Linked DNA regions of Daphnia pulex. The protein of the gene in region 3 purifies or fractionates together with the protein of the main gene of each other region. This does not show direct contact. Links are inferred from orthologs where the notes say so. Each region holds a gene or a part of one and is shown on either strand. Other genes may lie near its edges. The genes, in order: NAD-dependent protein deacetylase sirtuin-1-like, serine/threonine-protein kinase ATR-like, DNA topoisomerase 2-binding protein 1-A-like and cell division control protein 45 homolog.

Region 1 (4,078 bases), on a different chromosome or scaffold from region 3:
ATGGCAAAGAAACGATCAAAGCTTACGGCCAGCAAGCTGAAGACGTCCACCAACATCAGCATCACTTTTGATTTGAAATATATGAATTACTTGCCAGTTTTTTTTTTAAAATGAAGCTTTGAATTACCTCTTAAAAATCCCTCGGTTCGACAAATAACCTTCCCAAAAATGTAATGGAAATTATAATTATTTGATAATAAAACTGACTGGTTTTGAAACCTCTCCGAGAATGAACATCTGGTAGAGATCGATGATTAAAATTATCCACGGGATGAGTAGGATAGTTAAAAGATCGGCGATGGCCAAATTCCAAATGAAGATGTTGATGGAAGTGCGCAAAAATCGATTGGTGGCCATGAGGTAAACCACCAAACCGTTTCCAAGCAGACTGATGATAATGACAGGAACGAAGAATCCGATTTTCAAGGCGCACTCCCAGGTGGGACGGACAATCCACAAAGGAAATGGGAAGTTGACGTTTGAAAAATCCATTCCTGTGAAAGTCTGAAATTCGCACGAACGACTTGAGTTCGGTTATTACGTGTGGGAAAACAATGAATTCACTTACATTGAAAAAAGTAGTAATTCCTTGCTTGTCGGAAGGTAAATCCAGCAACTGAGCTCTGCTGTTGTTTATCAAGCCTGATCGTTCTCGACTGGAGTCAAGTACTTACCGGATCCCGCAGCACTAATAATCCTCACACACACTCAGCGCAATTGTTGTGACGCACGCTTTCAAACAAGAGCGGCCATATCGGGCGGCCCCGTGTGCTATGCCTATCAGATTTAATTAAGTTCGTCAAATCGCTAGACCATGTTTTACAACTTTTGGGGGTATAACGCACCGCGGGCCGGCTCACCCCTATGCGATTTGGTTTTATGGTCCACGAATATTATAAGTCAGTCAAACCTCGGGGTCGCTTCTCTAGTACAAATGCCATACGTGAATTATTTTCCCGATATCGCGTAACCTCATTCGTGATGTTTAGTACATCTTGAACTAATTTTTTTCTCAGTTTAATTTGGTGATACTGCATTTCTGATAAACCTCCTATTAAAAAAAAAATTATAATCAGCAGCTTTCCTCCTTATGCGAAAATCACAATGCCTTATCTGAACCGCAACGTGCGGAAAGTGGACTAAGGTTGATATAAAAGCTCGACAAGGAAAGGCCTTGAATTAATTCCCTTCCTATTTCATGTATACATGTCCTTGCGCATATTTTCTTCCGGTTTCGGGACGAATTCGATTCATACTGGCAACGCTGACCTGCCACCTGGCGGCCCGAAATTTGTGAAGAAGAAGAAGCGCCCTCTACCCCACGATCGACGGAAGACGAAGCAATGGCCGACGAACAAGGCGAGAACTTTCACAGTCCCGTAAAACGAAGCAGAACTTTGCTGCCGATTGACATCTCACAGTCCTTTATTGAGGGCCAACAGCTTTGTAAGTACCCGTTTGATCGATTTCATTCATTTAATGTACTTGTGAACCTAATCAAAATTGTTAGCAAAAGATTGCATTCGGTTTTGAGGTAAATGGCCTTTTGCTTCGTTAGTGCGGCCATTGGCGGATGGGGGGGGGGGAGGGGAGACGCCCTTCTTTTTGGTCGATTGCTGCGTTGCCAAAATTTTGGGGCGGCATGTTTGAATGTCATAACAGTGTGATGACACTTGTCAAATACTGTTTTGGTTTCTTGAGTTGAAATTTCTTGATGGCTGTAGAGTTGATCCATTGTGAGCTTACTTGAAATATTTTTTTTTTTTTTTTAAATTTCAGCAAATGATGCAGGACAACTAGGAAGCTGTGAAATGTTCAACGCTGGGGATTCAGGCTTCAGCGAGTTAACGTCTTTAGCCAGCAGCGAGGATGAAAATCTCACTAATGATTTACCATCTACCAGGTAATGTGGACTAATGTCTTCTTTTTATTGTGTACAAACATATGGTCTAACTTTATTATTTATTTATTTGTAGCTATGCTTTGCCAGCCATTCAAGATGCTGATGATTCAATGGGCAATTTGGAGAAAGATGATGATACCTCCTCAGATAGTGATGTTTCAGACATAAGTGGGTTGAGTGACTTGAGCAATCATGACTGGGAGCCATCATCAGGGACGATGTCTTGGGTGCAACAACAGATGCTTCTTGGTACCAATCCTCGAACCATCCTGAATGAGTTGGTACCAAATGATGCTCAAATCCCCACCCATCTTGACGATGTCACCCTTTGGAAGGTAAAATTATAAATTTGTAGCATTGTCAAGGCAACTAATCATAATTATTGAATAAAACAGATAATCGTGAATATTGTCAGTGAACCTCCAAGGCGGGAACGTTTACGCCACATAAATGCAATATCCGATGCCGTCAGATTACTCCGTAGCTGTAAAAAGATTCTAGTTCTTACAGGAGCAGGGGTAATTTTTTTTTTTTTTTTTATAAAATAATTTACCTCATTATATTTGAACAAATTTTGTTTAGGTTTCTGTTTCCTGTGGTATTCCCGACTTTCGTAGCCGTGATGGAATTTACGCTCGCTTAGCCGTCGACTTCCCTGACTTGCCCGATCCTCAAGCTATGTTTGATATCCATTACTTCCGAAAAGATCCCCGACCGTTCTTTAAATTCGCCCGAGACCTTTGGCCAGGACAGTTTACACCTTCTAAATGCCACAAGTAAACAAATTCTCTTGACAATTTTGAAATTTCGCTAATGAAACGATATTTTGTTTAGGTTCATTCGTTTGCTAGAGAAACAAAACAAGCTTTTGCGCAACTACACGCAAAACATAGATACACTAGAACAACAAGCAGATATCGAAAGGGTTATCCAATGTCATGGCTCGTTTGCTACTGCCACTTGCCTGCGCTGCCAACATCGCGTCCCCTCGAACGAGATAGAAAAAGACATAATGGAACAACGCATTCCACTTTGTCCGAAATGCTCGGATGTGTCGAAAAATGAAGACGAGGCCAGTACATCGTCGTCGGTGGCATTATCGGCCCAGCCGATCATGAAGCCTGACATTGTTTTCTTTGGAGAAGGAATGCCAGACGAATTTCACCGCGCTATGGTACTCGATAAAGAAGAATGTGACCTGATAATCGTGATTGGGTCATCGCTCAAAGTCCGCCCTGTCGCACTCATCCCATGTAAGTTATTTTAAATGTCATCTTGTAACCTTAAAGTTCATATGCAATAAGTTTCTCTTGATTCAAATAGGCGCCCTACCGAATCATGTTCCGCAAATTCTTATCAATCGCGAACCTCTCCGCCACATGGTCTTTGATGTTGAACTGCTTGGGGACTGCGATATTATCGTCAACCAACTGTGTCATTTGTTAGTATACAGTAATTTTCATCAGCCAAATTTGTTGTCTCATCAATCTTCTTGTAACAATCAGACTGGGTACACAATGGAAAGATGACATTTGTTACCGCGAACCTCTAACAGAGATCAGTCGCCTACCACCACGCCCCACTCCTTCTGTCGCCGTACCTGCACCCATTTTCCCCAAAAGAGATCAAGACGATCCTTTACGCCGGGACAGTGGGATGTCTACAGGAAGCTTAGAAATGGAATCAGCCGAGTCTGGTGATGTTGAACCAGTTACTCATGACATGACCGGATGGTGGGAGCCGCGAATCAAAGTGAATCTTGCCGATCAACTCCCAGGTAATTTATTTTTGTTCGGTTGTTGTCTATGTCATCTATATGCATTTCCTTGCATAAAATTCAGAAAACACTTATCTCACCGTCCAACCTGGTCGATACCTGTTTCCTGGTGCTGAACTCTTCTATGACCCAGACGAAGAGGTAGAGTCCGATTCTGACTCATCCTCTGATTCCAGCGATTCGTCTGGAATTGATGGAGGAGATTCAACTCAACCTTTCCCGGAGCATGGAGTAAAAAGGAAAGCGATGGATTGACGACGTATTCCGAAGCAACGACAAAGCTTCTGTTTTTACCATTGTTATGTTAACAATATGGATTCTATTTAAAAGCTTCAAGCGTGTGTATATAGACGAAATCTCTCGATGGTATTTAGTATTTCTTTTTTTTCCTGTATTAT
Region 2 (4,014 bases), on a different chromosome or scaffold from region 3:
CCTCACTCCAACTATTGTCCGAAAAAAACCCGAGTATAAACGTTTGGATGAAGATACGCGCTATCTGATCCAAGTTCAAGTTGATGTCATAGAAAGAGTTTTGAGCGTCGTCAGAAAATCCCCGGTGATTACAGCAACTGGTAATCAAGCTCCAATTGGATATATGAGTCGCCCTTTGCTGGAGGATCTTTTAAATCGAACGCAACAACTTCTTTTGTCTCTTTTCCATCGCGAAAGATTTGCGTCTCAAGAACATGAATGTTTCATTGCCGAAGTCAACCGCTTGAACTTGATTCGAGCCTTCTTTTTGTTGAAGAGCTCCTCCACCTACAACAGAAACTCTTTGATAAACGAAGAAAATCGGCAGGTAGAAGAGCTGTTGATGAAGAATGTGAAGCCATTGAGGGATCGTGAGATCGTGGTGATCAAAGAAACTTTGCAGAGGATGGGCAAAAAATTGAATACTGGACTTGGCATCAGCGACATCGAACGTAAGGAAATTATTAAGGCCATGGGACTTACACAGGGACACTGGTTCAAATGTCCGAATGGCCACATCTACGCGATTGGAGAGTGTGGAGGAGCAATGCAGGAAGCCAAATGCAACGAGTGCGGCGCCCAAATCGGCGGAGGGAGTCATACGCTTCGATCAGACAACCGCGTTGCAGGCGAAATGGATGGGGCTCGATTTGCTGCATGGTCAGAGCAGGCAAATAATATGGCCAATTTTGAAATAGATGATTAAGTGTTATCATTCATCTAATCTATCTATCAAGTGTTCGGTTCTTAGTGATACCACGGTGATACAGTCATTATGGACATTTCTTAATAACTTTTTTTTTATTCATTTTCGCTCGCTGGCGTCTAAAACTCTAAAGCAAGGAATGTATGATGCTGTTTGTCCCCCAAAAAAACTAAGTTTTGTATTGTTATTCAAAATATTTTGGTGGACCACATGAAACAATATTACTCTGTCTGTATTCATTGTTTGGAATAAGGAAATTCTTCTTCGACTCTGGTTTCTTGTAATAAAGTTGTAATGTCTTGTCTTCTTGAACTCGTTTTCGTAATTGATTAATTATAATAACCTAGACTTTTTTTAAATTTTTTATCGTAGTTATTTTTCATTTTTTGCATTTTCTTTACTACTGCCTTGTTTTCTTATTTATAATCCGCCAACGCTGAAATGTAAGATGGGCGCCAAAACCTCTTAAACTGGACTTTTTCTTTGAATCCGTCTGCTATTCACACGTGATCGTAATTTGCTGATGCGGGTGATATGGTTGTTGTTAGCTTTAGTTTTGCGTTAGTTTCGTGGTGTGTGTCGTGGTACTTCAAGGTGCCCCGTTTCGTTAGTACTTTGTTTGCATAGTTTCGTTAGTACTTTGTTTGCCAAGTTTACATAATGACATCTTTAGCAGTAAAAGTAGAACAAAGTCAAAAGACTACAACTATGGAAATTCAAGAAGAAAGCTCAACAAGTGCTCACTTCAGTGCAGTTTCGGATCACCGGAAAATGATGGCCTTGCCTGCTTTAAAAATTTTAGCTGACCTAGATCATTCAGAAAAAAGCTTTGTCGTGTTGATGTCTGTCATGGACAGATGCTGCCGTGAACCAAATAATCAAGGTGTTTTTCTTGGATGTGGAAATAATGAAAACGATCACAGTTTAGCTTTTGGTAAGATTTACATTTCTGTTAATGTCTTATGCTGGTTTCTCTCAAAATTAACATCTGTTTGTTTTGCAGCTTACACTAAATGGTTCCTTGGCAGATTCGCCATTATATTTACTCGGAATTCATACATGAAAGCTTTTAATCCATTTATTGAGCTGAATGTTAAAATTTTGAATCTATTCAGAGATAAAGAACCTGCCCAATTTACTGCTATTGTTAATGAATATGCCAACTTGTTGAAGGAATTGGTAGGAATTGTATCAAAACAATCCAATGAAGAAGTCTGCAATAGAAGCTTCAAGCTACACTCCTTCGTTCTCAAGGAACCAGTAACACTTGCAGCAGATTGCCTTTTAAAGATGGATGGCTTGCAACTAAATTCATTATTAGAATGCTCCCTTCTGCAAAATAGCATTACCAAGGTATCTTTTGTAAATTACAATTTTGTTAGTGTTCTACAAAATATTTTTGCATATTTTTAGATTTTTGCTTTGTCAGCTGATGGCATTTTGCAATATAACCATCAATTGTGTGACAAACTTGTTTGTATTTTATTGGATCAACTAAATTATGGAGGAGTTAGTTCATTTAAAGCTACACTGGACTGCCTTGGGAAAATCATGATTCATAATTATCCAGCCAGAGTAAATATTTCACACATCCTTAGGCTCTTATTATGGTTTCTATTAACATTGTGGTAAATATATTTTATTCATTTATTCGTGCTGTCAGGTTCTTGAGGTTTTTCTAAGCTACGCATACCGCCTAGTAAACCTATTAATGGATAAAAGCAATCCACTGTGGCTTGGAATTAGTGAAGATAGCTACACAGAAATAGAAATCGCGCTAACTGACTGTCTCAGTCGCCTATCTAGTCTTTACGGCTTGAACAATGTAACTAATCACCAATACCTGAGGCTGATCAGTTTTATTTTACTTCATCAAAAATTCCACCAACCTTGTATAAAATATTCAATATATTTGAATGCTTACAATAACATTAATTTTGAATTTATTCTAGCTTTACTTCCCAATCTTTTACAAAGTATGCTGGGCGCACTTCAGAAATTTACATGCCCGGAAACAATTTCTCTTTGTAGATTCACACCTGATTTATGGATCAAGCTGCTAAAGCATGCTAAAGTAACTGACCACAGAATTTCATTAAACAGCAATGTTTTATTACTAAATTTCTTTACCTGTGTAGGTTGCCATTCCACCCTTACTTATCATCTTGCAGAGTGAGATGACGCCTGGAGACTGTCCCATGGAAGTTGATGAGCCACCATCTGCTAAGAGACTAAAAATTGATTTTCTTCCGCCATCGACTTCTTCTACTTTATGGGAACAAATTAAAAATAGCTGGAAAGAAATATTGAATCAACAAACGGCAAGTCAATCAATTGAGATGACCGACGCTATTGCTTTGGTTAGGATCGCAATCGTTGGAGTCAAACTGAAACTGAAATGGCGCGAAATGAACTCGGTCTTGGATGAAGCCGACTTCGAAAACTTAAACGGAAAAATTTGTGAAATTCTTTTAACCAATGAAATCAACAGTGAAGATATGGACGCTTGGATGGATATAATTTGCGAGTATTTGGTCTGCTGTATCCCACTTACTTACGTCGGAATCGATAAGAACGTCGCTATAGCGTGGTTTGCCCTATCGTCTCTTCCTTGGCTCTCGGCAGTCTCTGAATCATGTGACCTGGAAGCCAAATGGATACAGGCCAGTCGAAAATTCAAGTCTTCTTTTCTAAAGCGCCAGAGCAGTTTCGCCAGCTGCTTTGTGAAATTCCCCGTCGCCTTTTTTAAACCTTGGGCCGTTGACATTGGCTTGAAGATTTTGGACATCGAGTTTCTTCAAGCTGACGCTGAGGCACTCATCCCTTCTCTTCCATGGATCGTCCGCCACAGCAAGTCGTTCCGCGAATCAATAACACAATGCTTAACCACCATTTTGGCTTCTGGTTCTAGAGAAGAGATAAGGGAGTTAACAAAAAATGGAGCAGACCTTGTCTGTGCTCTATCAGGCAAGATGAATGTTGTTAATAATCCAGAAGATGGACTGAGTTTACGGTGCACTCACAATCTCGAAAATCTTGCTACATCATTAAAAGTAAGCATCGTTCCTGAAGATATGGCGCTCTTCTTCCTCGAGTTTGTCTTTGATGAAAATGATATTTCGCTACTCCACCGCGTGGATCTTTTTCGATCGGTTCTTTATCATTCTGCTCGAACCGAAGCCCTTCGTTTATCAATCACCAAGAAACTGCACAAAGTGGCGCAAATTTCGGTTGAAAAAAATTTACCATCTCTTCAACGAGCCATCTTA
Region 3 (2,547 bases):
AACACCTCAAGCTCGACCATCTCTTTTTAACATGCCTACACCCGATACACCATATGGAAGGCTTTTAAACGTAATGTTTTAGTTTGTAATTTTTAATCGTCAGAAAGGAATCAGCATTTTTCTTCTTTGTAGACGGACCCGTCACCCGAAACTCGAAAATTGTGGAAACATGCATTGGAAAATCGAGTTCGTTTGACGCCTCGCGCGGACGAATCCCTTAACGTTACCCCACAAGATATTCAGAAAGGAGAAATTGTGGTTTCCCCCGAAGACTCGGATTATTTCTTGAATTTACGGAAAAAATTGCGTCTTGATGAAAGTGGAGTTGAAGCACAAGCCATGTGGAAACCGGATGAGGAAAATTCAGCGGCAGCATCACCCTTAGAACCACCAAAGCCACCTTTTCATGGAGTGGTGGCATTCATACACAAGAAAGTTGAAGACCAAAGAACCGAGTTGGTAAAAGCAGTTGAAAATCTGGGTGGCAAGGTTCGTTTCCAACACTGCGAGGAGGTAACTCATTTCATATATCAGGGCAAGCTAGCTGCATCCAAAGAGATTCGAAGCGCAAAAGATTGGCACCAGAAATTTGTCTCACCACAATGGATCCTAGACTGTGAAGATACTTCGAATCGTCTAGAAGAATCGCATTATCCACCATCTTTGAATCCGAAAATGGCTTTGTCACTGAATTTCAATTCGCAACCTGCACCGCCGTCTAGTTGTACCCAGAAGCGACGCCTTCCTGCCAGTTCCAGCGAAACGGGTACTCCTAGAATTCCTTCCCGTAAGCGCTTATCATCTGATAGTGAGCCACGTGAAAACGACCTTCTTGAAACTAATGAAGAACAAGAGAATCTTGTCGTCCCAGACGTAGAGGAAGAAGCATGCAAAGAACTTTTGCAACTAGACCAAGTGCTATCACGTTCAGCTGAGCAGATTCCTCTGCAAAAGGTTACAAACGTTTCGGGGGCTAGAAACGGTAGAGGACCTGAACACGTCTTCGTTCCCGCAACGCAACCTCTGGAAACGGTAGATTCGCAATCTGCTCCAATTGTGTGGGATCTTCACGAGACACAAAAGCCAACCGGTTCACAGCTAAACAATACTCAGACGTATCGTGTCATGTTCTCTGGAATGGCACTAGACGATCGTGAAAGCTGTACTGCTGTTATCGAAGAGTTGGGAGGAACCGTTCTTGAATCCAACCAATACGACCCAACGTGTACTCACCTTGTCGTCGCCAAAGTTGGATCTAATGAAAAATTGTTGACGTCGATCGCTGCTGGAAAATGGATCCTTCATCCAGAATGGCTGATTGAAAGCGAAAAAGAAAAACGTTTCCTTGAGGAAGCTAAATTTGAATGGGGCAATCCAGAAGCCACGGTGGATTACCCAGAATCCGAATCCATTACCGAGGACGAAGCTAACATTGCTGCGGCTGCATATTATTGGCGTATTAATCGCAGTCAAGGAGTATCTGGTGGCCCTTTTCACGGAATTACCGCTGTTTTATACCTTCGCGAGAAAAATGCTTCTTTCCAGCGTTTACTTGAAGCTGGTGGCGGAAAGGTGGTTGACCAAGGGTATGATAATAAGGATGTTCAGAGTTTTCTTTCATTCATTATTTTCATTTATTTATACGTTTCTTCTAGTTCGGCTTTGGAAAACAAGAAGACGAACTTGTGCATTTTGGATTCTCGCGAAGCGAAAAAGTTGCAGTTGTCATCGTTTGCCAATAGAGGCATTTATTGCGTTCCATTGATTTATCTCAGAAATCTTGTTCTGGCTACTGACAAGAAGTTAAAATGGAGCAAGTCTGTTTTACAAGAATTTCTTCCTTATCTCGAAAACATGCCTTCTTCTTAACTATCTTTCTTTTTATTTGAATAATCTAATGTGAAAAATACCTTTTTTTTTTAAGAAAATGTTTAAAGATACTTAGATAAGTCCATGAAATACAATCATTTCTAGTTTCCTGCAGAATTGTATTGATAACTAGTACATAATGATGACAAAACTACCAAAGACGCTTAGGCCCCATTGTTGCAGATGTAAGTATCCAGGTTTTGTCTTCATCTTTCTTCATTGACATTTGTTTATGCCTTGGTTTAGTTTTACAAATGATATGAACCCTTCCCTGTCTCACCACTTTGTAGCAGTCTTTGCAACGTTTCATCGGTTTCCCCACAACTTTGAATCCACAACTAGGAACTAGTGAAGGAACAGTAGGAGTTAACAGTTGATTTTGCACATTCAGAGTTTGGGGAATTCTCATTGATAATGCACTAAATGTTCTTGACACTGTCACAGGGAAAACAGCAGGTGAAAACATAAAGAGTTGTTGCAGGTTGCTGCACACGGGTCTTACAATTTTTCTCAATGCATCCATTTCAATCGTGAATCTGCTGTAAAAATATTTAAAACTGTTACATTTTTCAGTACTCTACATGAATTACATTAAAAGATAATGAGTAGTGCAAATGCAATAATTTTTTGGATTGCGCAACGTATCAAAGCAAGATTTAACTCTATTATAAACTTACG
Region 4 (4,147 bases), on a different chromosome or scaffold from region 3:
TAACTCGAATGATTTCCTCACTTTAATCTGTATTTTTTTCTTGTTTCAGGCACACAATGCAATTGCAGAGTTCCAACATAGAATGACTAAAGAAGGAAGGCACGTCAGTGTGATCACCCAAAATATTGATGAACTTCATCAAAGGGCTGGTTCAGTCAATGTCTTAGAACTGCATGGCAGTCTGTTCAAGACTCGGTGTCTGAAATGTAAAAAGATAGAACCCAATCATGACAGTCCCATTTGTGAAGCTCTTAGGGGAAAGGGGTAAGATTTTCCTTTTTTACTTATTTCAAATAAAAATCTAATTGTCTTACCCTTATTAGATCACCATCCCCAAATGAGGTTGGAGAATTGGTTCCAGAATCATTGTTGCCCAGATGCAAAGTTTCTTCCTGTGGAGGCCTTCTAAGGCCCCATGTTGTATGGTTCCATGAAAATCTGGATTCTGCCGTTCTCAAAAAAGCTGGTAATTAGTACAATTTTTTCTTCGATGTCAATTTTTTATGTGTCCTATTTACGTGTTTATTTTATTATCTAGATGAGGAACTTAATAGTTGCGATCTGTGTTTGGTCGTTGGAACATCATCAGTTGTCTATCCAGCAGCAATGTTTGCTCCCCAGGTTGCTGAAAGAGGGGTTCCCGTCGCGGAATTCAATATGGAAACTACTCCTGCTACTCATCACTTTGGGTATGAAACACCTAAACATTTGCATGTCGTAAAGTTCTTTTCATAACACGTTATTGACGTTTCTGGCAGATTTCATTTTTCGGGTCCTTGTGGGGAACTTTTACCTAAAGCGCTGGCACCTTGACGATCGTGCGCCCAACTGTTGAATTGCTACAGACACTACGGTTTATAAAGACCTACAGCTGATAAATTAACATGCTTGTGCATTTAAAGTCGTATTGTTTTTATTATTTGTAAAAAACTACATATGCGTATACAAAACTTTACTAGAATCCGTACGTGAAATATTTTAAAATATGCGAATATTTGATTACCCCAATAGTTGAATCTTTAACAGTTGCATCAGCTTTATCCACGATAATGATTGATTAAAATTAGATTTTTACATAAAGACGATTTATTCTAACAGAGAAAAATATCTACAAAATAAGTTGAAAACTTTTGGTTGGTCATTTGAATTTCGGATGCTAATTGTCAACGAAAACTTAAGTAAGCGTTAAAAAGAAGGGAAATAAAAAAATTAAATTTTTCATATTTTGTGTGTGGAATTCTTTGTTTGTAAATATAAAAATATCACGTGTGCTTAAAAAACGAACGAAAAAACAAAATCAATTCCTTTGTCTGTGTTAAAGGGACACCAGAAGAGGCTTCGATTTTGTTGTTAGTTTCGCGCCATTTCACGTACCGAATGAAAAGAAGAGTGAGGGATCAGGGAAAGGGTATTGTGAATGGCTAACAATGTTTCTCAGTGACCTCAAACGCGAGTTTTACGATGTTATATTGGGAAAAGTAATAATGAACGACTGATTTACCGATATTTTGTGTGTGATATAAAGTAATGTCTTTCTCATATTTTCTTTGTACAGCGTGTCTTGATATTTGTGAATTTCGACGTGGATGCCATAGCTTCATGTCGAATTCTGCAGTACCTGTTACTTTGTGATTCAATCAGCTATTCTATAGTCCCTGTGCAGAGCCAAAATGATCTCATTTCAGCCTACAAAGAGAGCTGTGAACAGGTGAAAATGCATTCGTAATAATATATATAGTGTTGAAGAAGTGAGTGTCAATATAATTTCTACAGTCGAACCACATTATTCTGATAAACTGTGGAGGAACTTTGGACATTGTAGAAACATTAGAACCATCAGAGGAAAAAATCTTCTATATTGCAGACTCACATCGGCCATATGATGTTTGTAACATCTACAACGATGGACAGGTAAATATCACTGTTTACTTTTTATAGCGAAAACTTTGTTGATTGTGTGCCATTGTTTAGGTTTGTATACTGGGAAAGGTAAATGAGAAAGAAGATATACCAACATATGAAGATATCTTTGGGAATGATGATGACGATGATGATGATGAGGTAGTTAATTAATTGGCATATGTTTAAATTTGAAACTGATAAATTTTTAAAATAATTAGGGCAGCAATCCTTCAGATGGAGAAGCAAATGGTGATGGTGATGATGATGAAGAAGAAGTTCGTGAATCTAAATCCAAACGTCAGAAATTGGATCCTGCTGAAATGGTTATGCGTCGTAGAGAAAAAAGGCTATGGCATGAGAAAAGAAAGGAGATTTTGTTTAACTATATGCAATTTTCTTTTTATTCATCGTCGGTAAGTTTAATTCAAAATCAAAACTGTATTCAACTTTTATTACCATTCATTTTCGTCGTTTAGACTGCTCTTCTTATGTTTGAACTTGCCTGGAAATTATCTAGAGACAGCAATGACTTGTTGTGGTAATAATTCTTTAAATTTTTAGCTGAGTAAGAATGTACATGGTTCATTGGTATTGCAGGTGGGCTATTATTGGTGTGAACGAACAGCAGCTTCTGGGTAAAGTCGAATCAAAAACCTCGGTTCTTGATAATGGCAAATTGCAAAGTCACATGATTCGATTGGCCCATTTATCGCAACACGGTGGAGAATCGACAGGAACCAAAGACGCACTATATATAACCCACGAAAAAGAGTAACATAATATTTTTGCTATTTAATTTACAGTAATTTAAATTAACTTTTTGTTTAAACAGTTTAAATTTGTCAATGTACCGACACTGGAGTTTATTGGAAAGCTTAAAATACTCTCCTCAAACAGCCAGTCATTTTCAACTTTGGACACTGAAAGGAGAGAAAAAACTCAACGAGTTTCTAGCTGAATTGGGGTAATTTCAGAATCCAAATATATTTTACTACTATTATTGCAATGTCTTTTATTATTGCTCACAGGCTTCCACTGTCTCAGTGTCGCCAAAAATTTAACTCTATGGATATCGAGCTTCGAAATGATTTGCGTGCCATTTTCCAGAAAAAAGTGGAAAAATACGACTTGGAAGACCTCGTTGAATACAGTTTTAATTCTCAGTATGGATTCCGGCCAAAGAATTCCGCCAGTGACTATGTCTACGCTCTTATAGCGTTGCTTGATTCGGCCGAAAAGGATAAAGATCCAGCCGATGCATTTCACGACGCACTGGAATGTCTTTCAAAGTATGCTTCTTAACCTCAAGTCATCTTCATAGAAAGAATCGTGATTGAGACATTGTTCCTTTCATATCTTTTAGCTCGAAAATGGATGCTGTTTATAAAGGAATCGAACTGGCCAAGCTTCAGCAAATGGCGATCGGAAAAGAAGTGCACACCTGTCTGGATATGGGTCACGTGATCAGCGCAGGACCTTGTTTGTACGCAGTTATCCAAGACGTAATAATAATGAATCGTATTCATCCCTGACACGAATAGCATCTAAACAACTTGTGCAACATACAGGGGACACCAGACGCCAAGTACTATGGTTATCCGCACAGTTTGCTCATGCTGGGACAGTTTCTTCTCAAAGCCCACATCTCGCGAGCACGAGGTCGTGGATTGAGAGCGAGAGAGCTTCCACTCATCATTTCAGCCCCATCGGCGTCTCGACCATCTCATTGCCTTTTATTGGGTTTGCCTCCTTTATCATTGGATTCCCCTAAAAAGTAAGTGCCTCATCTCCTAGAATTCCATTTACCGTTTCTTAACCGTTTGCAACGATTGTCACAGCTTGATTGGAAAAGCCTTTGAGCAAGCAGCTGAAAATACCCAAACAGAAATCACATCTGTATTTTTTGACTCCTCCGGTATGAGATTTGTGTTGCTGTAGGTAGCGATTTATTTACTAATTCGTTTTTCTCTTGAATGCGCAGTGATCGAGATCAACTCGGAATGCCGAACCAATTTCTTGGATTCGCTCTTTTCACTCCTAGAGTAACACAAATTTACCGAACCCGAACGGTCAAAATGGGATTAGTGATTCACATCAAACGAGTATCTTTTTTCTTCTTATTCTTATTTAAGGCTGTACTCCCTCTAGAGAATTTTCTCCCCCTTTTTTTTTTAAACATGCCATACTTGATTTTAAAACAGTGTGTAGAATTTCGTTGGCGATTTCCCGTGCAAATTATATATTA

What was found.
Region 1: the proteins of DNA topoisomerase 2-binding protein 1-A-like (region 3) and NAD-dependent protein deacetylase sirtuin-1-like purify together in Homo sapiens (affinity purification with western blotting; 3 studies listed by BioGRID, with this or other methods). This does not show direct contact. The link is inferred for Daphnia pulex from reciprocal best matches to the Homo sapiens genes TOPBP1 and SIRT1.
Region 2: the proteins of DNA topoisomerase 2-binding protein 1-A-like (region 3) and serine/threonine-protein kinase ATR-like purify together in Homo sapiens (affinity purification with western blotting; 8 studies listed by BioGRID). This does not show direct contact. The link is inferred for Daphnia pulex from reciprocal best matches to the Homo sapiens genes TOPBP1 and ATR.
Region 4: the proteins of DNA topoisomerase 2-binding protein 1-A-like (region 3) and cell division control protein 45 homolog purify together in Homo sapiens (affinity purification with western blotting; 3 studies listed by BioGRID and IntAct, with this or other methods). This does not show direct contact. The link is inferred for Daphnia pulex from reciprocal best matches to the Homo sapiens genes TOPBP1 and CDC45.

The regions. Positions count from the first base shown.
Region 1 is NC_060021.1:10,714,618-10,718,695, reverse strand, and holds the start of NAD-dependent protein deacetylase sirtuin-1-like, read left to right. Parts: upstream 1-1,257; 5' UTR 1,258-1,343; coding exon 1,344-1,446; intron 1,447-1,779; coding exon 1,780-1,903; intron 1,904-1,976; coding exon 1,977-2,238; intron 2,239-2,298; coding exon 2,299-2,421; intron 2,422-2,485; coding exon 2,486-2,679; intron 2,680-2,737; coding exon 2,738-3,156; intron 3,157-3,226; coding exon 3,227-3,344; intron 3,345-3,408; coding exon 3,409-3,680; intron 3,681-3,744; coding exon 3,745-3,935; 3' UTR 3,936-4,078. Other genes in the region: neuropeptide FF receptor 2-like, read right to left, coding at 1-64, 128-158, 220-492. UniProt on the Homo sapiens protein: NAD-dependent protein deacetylase that links transcriptional regulation directly to intracellular energetics and participates in the coordination of several separated cellular functions such as cell cycle, response to DNA damage, metabolism, apoptosis and autophagy.
Region 2 is NC_060021.1:4,790,128-4,794,141, reverse strand, and holds the start of serine/threonine-protein kinase ATR-like, read left to right. Parts: upstream 1-1,169; 5' UTR 1,170-1,405; coding exon 1,406-1,679; intron 1,680-1,748; coding exon 1,749-2,098; intron 2,099-2,158; coding exon 2,159-2,320; intron 2,321-2,408; coding exon 2,409-2,637; intron 2,638-2,697; coding exon 2,698-2,819; intron 2,820-2,883; coding exon 2,884-4,014. Other genes in the region: NFX1-type zinc finger-containing protein 1-like, read left to right, coding at 1-745. UniProt on the Homo sapiens protein: Serine/threonine protein kinase which activates checkpoint signaling upon genotoxic stresses such as ionizing radiation (IR), ultraviolet light (UV), or DNA replication stalling, thereby acting as a DNA damage sensor.
Region 3 is NC_060022.1:4,609,056-4,611,602, reverse strand, and holds the end of DNA topoisomerase 2-binding protein 1-A-like, read left to right. Parts: coding exon 1-70; intron 71-132; coding exon 133-1,586; intron 1,587-1,655; coding exon 1,656-1,869; 3' UTR 1,870-1,983; downstream 1,984-2,547. UniProt on the Homo sapiens protein: Scaffold protein that acts as a key protein-protein adapter in DNA replication and DNA repair. Composed of multiple BRCT domains, which specifically recognize and bind phosphorylated proteins, bringing proteins together into functional combinations.
Region 4 is NC_060026.1:14,327,800-14,331,946, reverse strand, and holds the start of cell division control protein 45 homolog, read left to right. Parts: upstream 1-1,340; 5' UTR 1,341-1,427; coding exon 1,428-1,478; intron 1,479-1,555; coding exon 1,556-1,708; intron 1,709-1,773; coding exon 1,774-1,911; exon of another isoform or gene 1,912-1,971; coding exon 1,972-2,061; exon of another isoform or gene 2,062-2,120; coding exon 2,121-2,315; intron 2,316-2,358; exon of another isoform or gene 2,359-2,378; coding exon 2,379-2,440; exon of another isoform or gene 2,441-2,499; coding exon 2,500-2,673; intron 2,674-2,734; coding exon 2,735-2,866; intron 2,867-2,930; coding exon 2,931-3,191; intron 3,192-3,265; coding exon 3,266-3,404; intron 3,405-3,470; coding exon 3,471-3,676; intron 3,677-3,740; coding exon 3,741-3,817; intron 3,818-3,883; coding exon 3,884-3,948; 3' UTR 3,949-4,147. Other genes in the region: NAD-dependent protein deacylase, read left to right, coding at 50-264, 324-466, 539-689, 759-813. UniProt on the Homo sapiens protein: Required for initiation of chromosomal DNA replication. Core component of CDC45-MCM-GINS (CMG) helicase, the molecular machine that unwinds template DNA during replication, and around which the replisome is built.